Rattus norvegicus: one gene and its partners. The protein of the gene in region 3 interacts with the protein of the main gene of each other region in a pairwise test. Links are inferred from orthologs where the notes say so. Each region holds a gene or a part of one and is shown on either strand. Other genes may lie near its edges.

What was found.
Region 1: the proteins of Egfr (region 3) and Mapk8ip2 interact in binary tests that used the Homo sapiens proteins (3 or more experiments, as listed by UniProt). The link is inferred for Rattus norvegicus from reciprocal best matches to the Homo sapiens genes EGFR and MAPK8IP2.
Region 2: the proteins of Egfr (region 3) and Rapgef1 interact in a protein complementation assay, tested with the Homo sapiens proteins (3 studies listed by BioGRID and IntAct, with this or other methods). The link is inferred for Rattus norvegicus from reciprocal best matches to the Homo sapiens genes EGFR and RAPGEF1.

What each region holds. Positions count from the first base shown.
Region 1 is NC_086025.1:122,405,165-122,409,155, reverse strand, and holds the start of Mapk8ip2 (C-Jun-amino-terminal kinase-interacting protein 2), read right to left. Parts: upstream 2,807-3,991; 5' UTR 2,084-2,806; coding exon 2,019-2,083; intron 1,146-2,018; coding exon 1,040-1,145; intron 1-1,039. UniProt on the Homo sapiens protein: The JNK-interacting protein (JIP) group of scaffold proteins selectively mediates JNK signaling by aggregating specific components of the MAPK cascade to form a functional JNK signaling module.
Region 2 is NC_086021.1:33,295,087-33,299,035, reverse strand, and holds the start of Rapgef1 (Rap guanine nucleotide exchange factor 1), read right to left. Parts: upstream 2,807-3,949; 5' UTR 2,512-2,806; coding exon 2,487-2,511; intron 1-2,486. UniProt on the Homo sapiens protein: Guanine nucleotide-releasing protein that binds to SH3 domain of CRK and GRB2/ASH. Transduces signals from CRK to activate RAS. Involved in cell branching and adhesion mediated by BCAR1-CRK-RAPGEF1 signaling and activation of RAP1.
Region 3 is NC_086032.1:95,500,618-95,504,128, forward strand, and holds part of Egfr (epidermal growth factor receptor isoform 1 precursor), read left to right. Parts: intron 1-974; coding exon 975-1,091; intron 1,092-1,603; coding exon 1,604-1,730; intron 1,731-1,920; coding exon 1,921-1,994; intron 1,995-2,815; coding exon 2,816-2,906; intron 2,907-3,511. UniProt on the Homo sapiens protein: Receptor tyrosine kinase binding ligands of the EGF family and activating several signaling cascades to convert extracellular cues into appropriate cellular responses.

The sequences.
Region 1 (3,991 bases), on a different chromosome or scaffold from region 3:
GGGAAGGGCCCAGAGTCTGAGACATTTCACAATAACCTCAACTAACCTCCCAGCTTTATTCGCCCCCTCCCCAAACCCCATCATATCTACCCTGTTGGTCTGCTGCCTTCCTCGCATTTTTTTAATTCACAGTTTGTGGCTTACGCATCAAACTGTAAGACCACCAGAACAGGTCATGTCCACACTGTACACTGGGGTACTCACCCGTGGGAACATCATCAGTAAGTAACAGATGAATACATCAGTGTGGAAAGCCTTCACTCTGATGATTCACCAAATCTGTACCAAACTCAGGGTCTTTGGCATAGCCAGACCTTCTGCCAGCAATTCCTCTCTTCCACATCCTCCTACCTAACCCCATCTGCCTGATTCCTGCTAACCTTGGGGGTTCTAAGACTGACATTTCCTCTGGAAAGTCTTCCTGATTCCCTCAGTCTGATTGGGTTCCCTCCCCCGCTCTCCCCCCATCATGCTTTGTGTCCAGTTGGAACGGGGCCACTGGCATATGGGTGAGCACCATCTCTCACTTCTATTTGCCCCTCCGCGCCCGCTAAACTGAAAGTTGGGGTGGGGTGAGGCTGCTATCTGGCTGTGCTCTCAATGCCTGTAAGCCCCCCCGCACTTGACACGTGGCATTTCCTCAAAACGAATGGAAATGGAAACATGTATTAGCGGAGGGTTTGAAGGGGAAAGATTTTAGAGGGAGATGAGATTGGACAAGGCCACAGAGGTTGAGTTTTGGTAGAAACTGGAGGGTTTAGATCTTCGTGGTGAGTGATCTTAGGACAGAAGCACCCAAGCAAAGGCCCACACCTCCTCTTGTGGCACTACGCTGGGGAGATCTGCCAGAGAAGGCCCTCTGATTGGCCAACAGTGTGTTAGGAAAGAAGACCAACACCAAGGGGCTATCAGCAAGAGCAGAGGAATTTTTACATGGAAGCTGAACTCGAGACTCCTAAACCCACAAGAATGCTGGGGAAACTGAGCCTCTGTGAACCTCTCCTTACTCAGACCCTACACACCCAGCCCTTTTCCCCACCTTCTCGCAGTGGTCGGAGTCGTAGCTAAGGCCCAGGCCACAGTCGTCCGTGATCTCAGATAGGTCTTCATCATCAAATTCTTCCAGGCTTATGTCCTGGGGAGGCCTGAAGAGGGTGCGGGGGTCAGAGAGTCACCTGTCCTGGGCTCCTGACCTGACAGCTGATCCTGAGGACATTGGTGGGAAATGTCCAGCTCCCAGGGCCCTCCACTCATATGCTAAAGCCACGTCATTTTGACCCCAGGCACTGCTCTCCCCTGGGTCCCCTCCTCCACCACTGCAAATGAGCCCAGAGGAGGCATCGGTCCACAAACCCCTCCCACTCCTTTTCAGCTCAGCTCCCAGCCCCTGTGGGCCACAGCTTCAGCCTCAGGGGAGACACCTTGAACCCACAGGGGGAGGGGTAATGGCTACAACAGGAGAGGGAGGGGTCCAGCTGTTCTGCTTGTGTCCCCACCCACTCCTACAGAACAGGCCTACATCCAAAGATCCAGCCCCCTCCAATCCCAACTTCTCCATCTCACCCCCAGAGCTTCAAGCTTGATTTCACTCTCTGCCGTCCTGGGGGGCTGGGGGACAGGCCCTAGCCTCTATGGAAGGAGACACAACAAGGCCAAAAGGACACTGCCAGGAACGGAGTAGGTGTTGAGCACCCTGCCTAAAATCCCTCAAAGGGTCAATCCAGAGACCCCACCCTTGCTAGGTCATCGGCCTTGACTGGGTGCGGTTCCGTGGCCCAACTGGAAAAGTGAATATGTGTCTGTGTTTGGGGAGGGGTGGGGGAGGAATGGGTGCCATCGGGTCTGCGCGACAAGGAGCAAACACGGAGGGACCCGGAGCCTAGGATGGGGGATGGGAGCATCAGGCAGAGGCCTGCAAACCAAGGAGGCGCCCCGGCCTGGGTAGTTGAAGTCGATGGGGTGGGGTGGCAGGCCGAAGAGACCTACGTGAAGATGAGCCCCGCCGAATGAATGCGTACCTGCAGCCCGGAGGCGACAGCGAGTGAAAGGTTGAGAGAGAAAACATCTCCGCGCGATCCGCCATCTTCCCAGGAACCGCGGGCCGGCAGTGAGGGGGAGGGGTGAGGAGCACCGCGCGCCCTTGGTGCTCAGGCTCGCGGCCTCTGTCTCCCCACTCACCTCGTGACACGCCCTGCGACACCCGTCGGCGACACACCTCAGCGCCCTGCCAGGACACCGCGGCAGCGAGCCGCGCCGCAGGGGTGAGGGGAGGGAGTGGCGCAGGGCGGGGCCTGAGGTGGGGGCGGAGGAATGGGGGTCGAGCCGAGGGGGGGGGTGGGATGCGGGATGCGAGGTGGTGGTGGTAGCGGTGGTAGTGGTGGTCGTGAGATTCTGGTCGGGAAAGCTGGCGTGCGGCTTGCGTGGTTCTAGGCGACGAACTGGCGAGAAGGGATAGGTGGAAGCAGAGGCGCTGGTAGACCAAAGGTTTCTGCAGGAGCCGAAGAGATGCGGGGGGGAATGGGTGCGGTAGACCCAGGAGCCAGGACCAAGGCGGCCCGGGTCTGTGCGCCTCTAGTTACGGCGGTGTGCAGTGCTTCTGGGAGGTGGACGGCTCATGTGGGGTGATGGGCGAGGACTTAGGAACAGCATTCATGCCCGGTAAATTCGAAAAGCAGAGTTGGTCAGGAAGCCCCTCAGACCTCCTAACACACCAGACCTACTAACCCGCTAGACCTCCTAAACCGTTAGACCGCCTAACCGGTGGCCGAGGGAGCTGTCCACTCCAGGGTGCTGATCAGACCTTGTCGGAGCTGTTCTCCACTGGGTGCTGATGGAGCCAAAAGAAACTTAAGATTTGCTGACTCCAGCTAGAGAAGTCATTATCCTGACAGTGCTAATGGGACTAGGACAGTGACTCTGTCTTAAAGGATGTGAATAGATCTGGAATCAGAGTCCAGAACCCAGAGGCCAACGCTGAACTTTCTCTGTGTGGTACAGACTGAAGAACCTGGACAAAGATAGTGGTGGGCACCAGAAAGTTGAGGCTGTGTTCATTCAACCGAACTGCTGTTTCTTGGGGCCACCTATGCTCTTGGCTCTGTTCTAGGTATGGAAAACCTCCAAGCTGAAGCATGGGCTTACTACGGAGTTCTGTGCGGAGAGAAAGGGCAGAAATGGAGCCAACTGTGAAGTGAGAGAAAGGATCAAAGTTATGTTGGACAAGTTAGAGGACCTCACACTGGAATTAGTTTTGAAGGAAGAACGAGACACTAGAGTGTTAAGGCTGGAAGTCACAGAGCACAAGGGGCTCAGAGAGTCAGGTGGGGTGCCCTGATGAACCAGCTTCTTTTTTTTTTTTTTTTTTTGGTTCTTTTTTTCGGAGCTGGGGATCGAACCCAGGGCCTTGCGCTTCCTAGGTAAGCGCTCTACCACTGAGCTAAATCCCCAGCCCCATGAACCAGCTTCTTAATTTCTGAATGGCCAAGTGTGACTTCTCCAAGAAGTCTCCAGGCTTTCTCAGGATGCACTGGAATTGTACAATCTAAACTCATCTCAGACTATAACTTCCACACCCCACACAAGCCTCCCTCTTACCAGATGATCACATCCAGATCCCCAAAGCATGAACAATCTGGGGAGGGGTTACCTCCCACTTCTCCTGTGGAGTTTCTCTTTGGTTCCAAGAGCACGGATTCTCCAGACTTAGGATCTGAGAGTGAATACCCATCTTCATTTAGCCACAAACGTTCTGGACATAAGGCAACTGTTCAGTGCACCAGAACCCAGTTTCTCCATCTGAATAAAGGCGCTGTGACACACACACACACACACACACACACACACACACTCACACACCACGCACAATGATTTAATAACGATCACTCAATAGTCATGCTTCAAAGGTGCAGCAGTCAGGCATGGAGGCATGTGTCTTTAATCCTGGCATACAGGAAGCAGAAGCAGTTGGGTCTCTGTAAGTCTGAGGCTAGCT
Region 2 (3,949 bases), on a different chromosome or scaffold from region 3:
TTGGCAACACTTCTGTTCTTTGAAGCACAGAAAACAGCAACTGTTAGTGGGTGTGGGCTCCTCCACAGTCACTAGAGACCAGTACCTGGCTGAATAAAGGTGTCTCTCCAGCACACCATCGCTCACGCTTAACAGCAGGCCCACCTCACAACCAAACAGGAACTCTGGCGGAACGCACACCATGTTCACTGAGGATGACCCACAGTAGCTCCAAGAGGGGAAGCCCTCATCCCAAGCACACCCCAATCTTCCCCGGCAGGGTACGCAGACCACAGCAGAGAGCACTGCACGAGGGTTCCTTCCTGTCATCTCATCTGTGAGTCCCAGCTATGGCCACCCAAGAACTCTATCACCTCTAGCTGCTTCTCCCCAAAGGCACCTTCCTCCCATCCTTTCTGCAGCTCCCTCTCGCCATCTCTCCCTCTGTAAGAAAGCCTTGGAGAGACTTGAAGTGCCCAAGTGGGGTGATACCCAGGGGGATTCCAATTACTCAGAGGAGAAGGGGTGGGGAAGGGATTATGGGTAGGGGTGACAGGGAGGGTGGATTTAAAGAAAAATTTTAATTTAAAAAAGGAAAGAAAGAAAAAAAGCCTTTCTTTTCCTGGTCTAGTGAACAGGCCTTCCAGGACCTTCCACAACTGGGTTCAGAATCTTCATGGGTCTGGCAGGGAAGATACCACTACCAATTCTCAGACAAGCTCTTCTAAAGAGGGCATTGCAGCAGCCCTAGCAGAGGACAGTGGCCTAGGAAGACCCAGGCGTGAGCGCTGCTGAAAGGGCCTGGGGTAGACGCTGAGTAGAAGGCTCTGTCATTCTGAGCTGTGGAAGGAAGCCCCAAGGTGACAGCACATGCCAGCCCCTGTGCTTCCAGGGGTTCCAAATTCTTCATAATGATAGAGAAAACTCAGCTAATGCTATTTAAAATGTATCTAGATGTATTTATTTCATTTACATACAACAATGTTTTGCCTGTCTGTATGTCGGTGCACCACATGTGTGTCTGGTGCCCATTGAGGTCAGACCTCCTGAAACTGGAGTTGTGAGATGCCACATGGGTGCCGGAAACTGAACCTGGGTGCTCAAGAGCAACAAGTGCTGTTGACTGCCCAGCCATCTCTCCAGCACATGAACGCTATTTTCAAATAAATAATCCAAGTTTCCCAACAGTGTCATTCGGAAGAGACACTGTAAAGAGTTCATAAGCAGTGCTGCGCAGATGGGCCAGAGATAATTCCAGAGCAGCACGTATTCAGGAAAGCGACTCATAGTCACCAGACAAGGCCTCCGGGCAAGAGGACAAGGAGACAAACACCCCAGAAACAGCATCTGCAAAGGAACAGTCCAGCCATGAGAATGGTATCCTGCTTCTTGTCAGAGGCTGATGTCAATACCCTATCTATGATCCTTGCTGGGTGGGCTACAAAAATTCACTGAGCCTCTCTGGGTCCTTAAAACAGAGACCACACTCCGGTAGGCAATCTTCAAGTATTTTTAATAAACAAGACAACCAAGAGACCAAACACAGAGAAGACACATAACAGATGCTCAATAAGGAGAACCAAAACGTTCTGCCCTGTGTTGAAACTAGGGCTGCAAAAGTTACAGCCATTGCTTGTTGGTTCACAGCTAATACAAATCCAAATATCCCCAAGTCCACCTATGAAACGGCAACTTCCAAACATTAGTGCTGCCGAACACCTTTTCAGGTTCTGCCTTCTTTACAGAGTTTCCAGGCTAACTGGGTATCCCCACCGTGACAACCCCCAACACAGGCCCTGGACCACTGCCTACCTCACCTAGCAGCCAAGAATCCGCCCTCTCATACAAGGAATCCCTGCTTGACGGCTAATTAAGCTCTGGGCCCCATATGCACAACAGTAATTGACTCTCGGGAGTATCTAACTCCCAGAATATGCAAGCTGGGGGGCGGGGAGAAGAATTGGGAGGCGACTCCCCAAGATTTCCAGGAACACACAAAGAGATGAGGTTTGCATCAAGATCGCATCCACCTTCTCCCCCAAACCCTATGGCTCTCCACTTGCCTTGCTTGCAGAGCGAGGAAGAAATATCGGAGGACAACTTGGCTGCTCCCTGAAACATCGCTCCAACACACCCTAGCCTGCTGTCCTTTGAAGCCACCGAAGTGAACACTTGTGGTTAAACTCGAGGCTCATTAGGAGTGACACATTTTATAACTGGGCTGGCGATCACCTCTAGAGCGCGCCTGTCCTTCTGCATGCGGTCGGGGCCCGGCCTTCTAAGGGTCCCGGACTCCAGCCATTGTGGGAGGTTCCAGGGAACAAGGCTACCGGGACCTCCACTAGCTCCCCCAGAATCCCGCTAGCATCACGGGTCCCCCCGGCGCCAGGCAGGCCCTGCTCAAAGATGGCCCTCGCGGCGTCACTGCCAGGCTGGGGCCCGGACAGGGGGTCGAGCACATGAAGCCAAGGAGGCGCGCCGCCCGCCCGCCCGCCCGACCGCCTCACCTGCTTTCTCGATCTTGCCGGACATTTCCGGGCTGCGCCGGAGGCCGAGGCCGCTGCTCAACGGGCCCCGGCCGGGCCGCTGCGGGGTAAGAGGCCGGCGCGCCCGCCGCTCTCCTGGACCGGTGCTCGCCGCGACTCACACTCGCGCCGTCATGGCGGGCTCCGCGCGGCCGCGGCCGGTGCGCTCGCCGCTCCGCGCTCCAGCCCGCACCGGGCCTGCCGCTTGGCGCTCCACCTCCCGCGCAGCCGCCGCTCCGGGGCCGCGAGCCGCCGGCCGCAGCGCCGCGCCGCCGCCCGCCCGCCGGCCTGGGCCCCGAGGCCACGGCGCCACCTGCCGGAAGCCCGCCGCGCCGCCCGCGCCACAGCGCCCTCTGCCGACCCGGAGCCGAGCTAAGCCTGGCGCAAGGCGCAGCGCCCCCTGCCGGCCTGGAGTCCTCCGTGCCACAGCTCGGCACGGACCCCACCCCTTTCTTGAGAGAGAGAGAGAGAGAGAGAGAGAGAGAGAGAGAGAGAGAGAGAGAGAGAGAGAGAGAGAGAGAGAGAGAGAGAGAGAGAGAGAGAGAGAGAGAGAGAGAGAGAGAGAGAGAGAGAGAGAGAGAGAGAGAGAGAGAGAGAGAGAGAGAGAGAGAGAGATCAAGCCTACGGACAGAGACAACTCAGAACTTCCGCATGCCCTCCCAGGAAAGATCAGAACCCTCGGTAACCCAGACTTTTCCATCTCAAGTCGTGGGCTAACTCCCCATGTCTATTACCCAAGTTCAGCATCCTCCTTAGCCCAAGACTCCTCTAATTGACCCTAAACTAGTCTCAACAACTTCCTTACTAAAAACACAAGAAGCCTGGACAAGGTTCGGGACTGACACCCACCTTCACTCCCCCGACCTCATACACACTATGTAAGACTCAGGGGCCAGTGAAAAGCAGAACCTTTTGGCCAGATGTGGGCTCTGATCTTCCAAGCCAAAGCTTAGGCCCAAACCTGGAGGGACACAGCAACTTTGGCTTGCTTTGCTCAAGCAGTCCTCCAATGGAACATACAGCCTAGAGAGCAGTCTTTTTAAGTATACTAATGGGTTCGTTTACAGTTATTTTGGGGAATTCAAAGAACCTTTGCTATGCACTATGTCATACATATCCTACCAAGACTAACACAATGGATTCTTCCCTTCAAACAAGCTCACAGCTGGCTTGGAGAGTCAAACATTTTTAGTAAGCAACACGAGAGGGTGTTCAGACACAGGGAAAGCTACTCCCTGTTCATTGATTTTAGCTAAAATGGAATTCACATCAACAATGTGCGTGTGTGCATGTGCGGACACACACACACACACACACACACACACACACACACACACACACAGAGAGAGAGAGAGAGAGAGAGCTAGGCTAGGGACTGACCATCTGAGCTCAGCAAGTGAAGGCAGCCGCTGCCAAGCTTGACCAGACTTAAATGGCTGAGGAAG
Region 3 (3,511 bases):
TTCTAGGATTTGGCCTACCTAAATTCAAGTGATGGAAGACCATTTAGAACACACACACACACACACACACACACACACACACACACACACACGGGGAGGGGGGAGAATAATAAGCCATTATAAAGTAATTGGAAAACTAAGATGAAGAAAAATTCACCACAGTCATGCCAGAGACAGGATCTTTGTGTGAAAGCTTAGTAAACAGATCTTTAAAATCTACAGGAAACAAAACCTACAGCAACCAGAGCATATGACTCGCAGATATAGTACCAATGCTCATATATTTTGAGCCTGTGTCTGGGAAACTCAAAACAGGAGCATAGAGTTCCTAGTAATGCTATGATCATAAAATTAATTGAGATAAACAATACAAAGGTGGGGGGAGTGGAGACAAAGATCGGGGTACCTGTCTAGGAAGTAGAACAAACTGGTCCTCTCATTGTCCCACCAAGGACAGCATGGCAGATGGGAAAGGACAAAGCTGGTGTCAAACAAACAAACTGCGGTCACCTCAATGGGACATGGTCTGTCTAATGAGCATTTGTGTGTGTGTGCGTGTGCGTGTGCGTGTGCGTGTGCGTGTGTGTGTGTGTGTGTGTGTGTGTGTGTGTGTGTGTGTGATACATATCCAAGGTCTCCTTATATATTGTAGACATAGACCTGTCAGAGGAAACTTGCGCTCAGCGTGGGATTTTCAGTCAGCGAGCACACATGGTGGCGTTTCCTCCCACAGCCGTTTTGCACCTGAGACCTAGTGGCTGTGTTTCTCCACATTACGGTCAGAAAGTCATTAAGCCAGGGCTTTGTTCCCCTTCTACTTGAAACCTGCCTGTCTTTCTCCTCAAAGTAAAGTCAACCAAACTGAGAGGAACCTTTTCAGCAGCCCACATTCATCAGGACTTGAGGATGTTTGTGGAAAGTTAGGAGCACCTGCTGTGGCCCTCAACACCTTCTTTTCATTGCCTCTTCCTCAGGAAACTACGTGGTGACAGATCACGGCTCGTGTGTCCGGGCCTGTGGGCCAGACTACTATGAAGTAGAAGAAGATGGAGTCAGCAAGTGTAAAAAATGTGATGGGCCCTGCCGCAAAGGTAAGGAGCCTTACGGGTGTGCAGTAGGTTTTTTTCTTGACCTTTGTGCCGAACTCTTATAGCCACCTCCAAACAAACACACCTCAGCCTTTTAACTTAGAAAATAAAAATGCGTTTTGTCTGTAAAGTAGAAGATAAACTTGTAAAGCCAAATTACATGGTGGAGGGTGTGGGGGAGTTCTCTTGAGCCAGGTACGAGGCGCCACCTGCAGCCCAGGGGAGTGATCTGTCGTAGACAGAAAGGGGAGGAGCCGATGTCTTTGTGAGTGGCTATAGATCCAGTCCAGGTAGAAAACGACAGAAAAAATTCAAATCTGACAAGAGGTCTGGGACAAGGACAATCCCAAGCCCCACTCCAGTGACTGATGAAAACAGGCCTGTCACAGGAGTTTTGGTACCTTGAGGGTTCACTCAGAGTCACTGGGGTGGTGGCAGGGTTCATGCTTCTGCTTGTGCAGACCCAGCCTTCTTAATTCGACAAATGTAAATGGAACACCCACCTCTCTTAACAGTTTGCAATGGCATAGGCATTGGTGAATTTAAAGACACACTCTCCATAAATGCTACAAACATCAAACACTTCAAGTACTGCACTGCCATCAGTGGGGACCTCCACATCCTGCCAGTGGCCTTTAAGGGGTGAGTAACAGCCGAGCCATCTGGACGGAGAGCTATGAAGTCTACTTTTTTTTTCCGGAGCTGGGGACCGAACCCAGGGCCTTGTGCTTGCTAGGCAAGCACTCTACCGCTGAGCTAAATCCCCAACCCCTGAAGTCTACTTCTTTAAGCCATGGAGAATGGCCAATAATCACGTTGCTGTTTCTTTCAGGGATTCTTTCACCCGCACTCCTCCTCTAGACCCACGGGAACTAGAAATTCTCAAAACTGTGAAGGAAATAACAGGTTTGTACTGGAATATTCAGGGGCATATATGGAAAATTCAATTTTATAGAGACTCTCAGACATTTCCCCTTCTTCCCTGACATGAGAATGTAGTGTCTGAAGCTTAACCATTGCGATTAATTTTTTTGAGACACTTTTCAAAGCCAGTTTCCCTTGATGCAAGTTGAAACCACTTTAAGCCGAGGCTGCTGCACCCATGATGGACATGATATGGACATGCACAATGGTTCTTTCTTGCTCAAACAGTCCATCATCCTTACAGACGCCAAACGCCAGAGAGAAGATGGAGAGAAGGCTACTAGGTTGAACGCTAGTGGGCAATGCAGGCTCTCGAGTTTCACAAACTAGATTTCAAATGATTGCCCACCAGGGAGTCTTGGATCTATGACCGCCACTGGCACAACATTTTCCTCATCCTTGAAAGGGAGATAACTTGATCTCCAAGACAAGATTGATATGAAGATCAGAGTTAAATTGAAAAAAATATTTAAAAGGAGAACACTGTAACAGGAGATTGAAAAACAGTCAGGGAAGGATCCGGTGTATAATCTGATGTCCTTCAAGGACATCAGAGCCAGAGCACTTGGTCAACCTGTCAGGTGGGAGTTGGCCTGCACATTGAGGGAAGGGCAGCCAGGGATTCAAGGCTGCATAGAAGGGGCAGGATTCTTTCTTTTTTGCCCACCTGACTGTGTCAGGACATACACTATCATCCTTAGTGGTAGGGACAGGAAGAATCCACTGCCACGGTTCATACAGCAGCCTTATCCGAGTCCTAGAAGTATCTAACAGTGTGTCTAAGCCTTTCTTCTTCCTTCTAGGGTTTTTGCTGATTCAGGCTTGGCCTGAAAACTGGACTGACCTCCATGCTTTTGAGAACCTAGAAATAATTCGTGGCAGAACAAAGCAACAGTAAGTTGGCCATAACAAAAGCCTAGTCATTTTTTTTTCCAAATGTGTCTTAAAGAAGAGGTACAAAAGTCACACAAAGACCATCTTCCGCTCGGCTTCCCCTAATGTGAACGACCTACGTGAGTAGATATGAAATTTAAGATCAGGAATCTGACACTGTGCAGTGCTCTTCCCTCAAACGTGTACTTCATTCTGGGCTCGCCAGATTTTCCATGAATGCATCATTCTTTCTCTGCCCTCTCCAGGACCCCAGACTGCATTGGTGTCTGAGGTCTTCCTGGTCCCCTTCAAACTTCCCCAGCTCCTGTCTTTGCTGGTTTTCATTGTCTCGACACTGGGGAAATATGACTGGGCGTTTTATAGGGCGCCTCCCTGTTTGTGTTTGGCTGATATTTGAGAGTGGTGCAGGTGAAAACACACAACATGTCGTCTTAATGAGACAGAAAGCGATAGGAGAGGGATGGTGAGCTTTCACAGAGTAGAAGAAATCCTGTGATTTGTGGTGAGGAAAAGAAATTTGGAAATCTGTAGCTCAAATCTGCCTTGGAAACTTTCTGATTGTGATAGCTTTTTCTGAAGTGCACCACCACTAACACCATTCATTC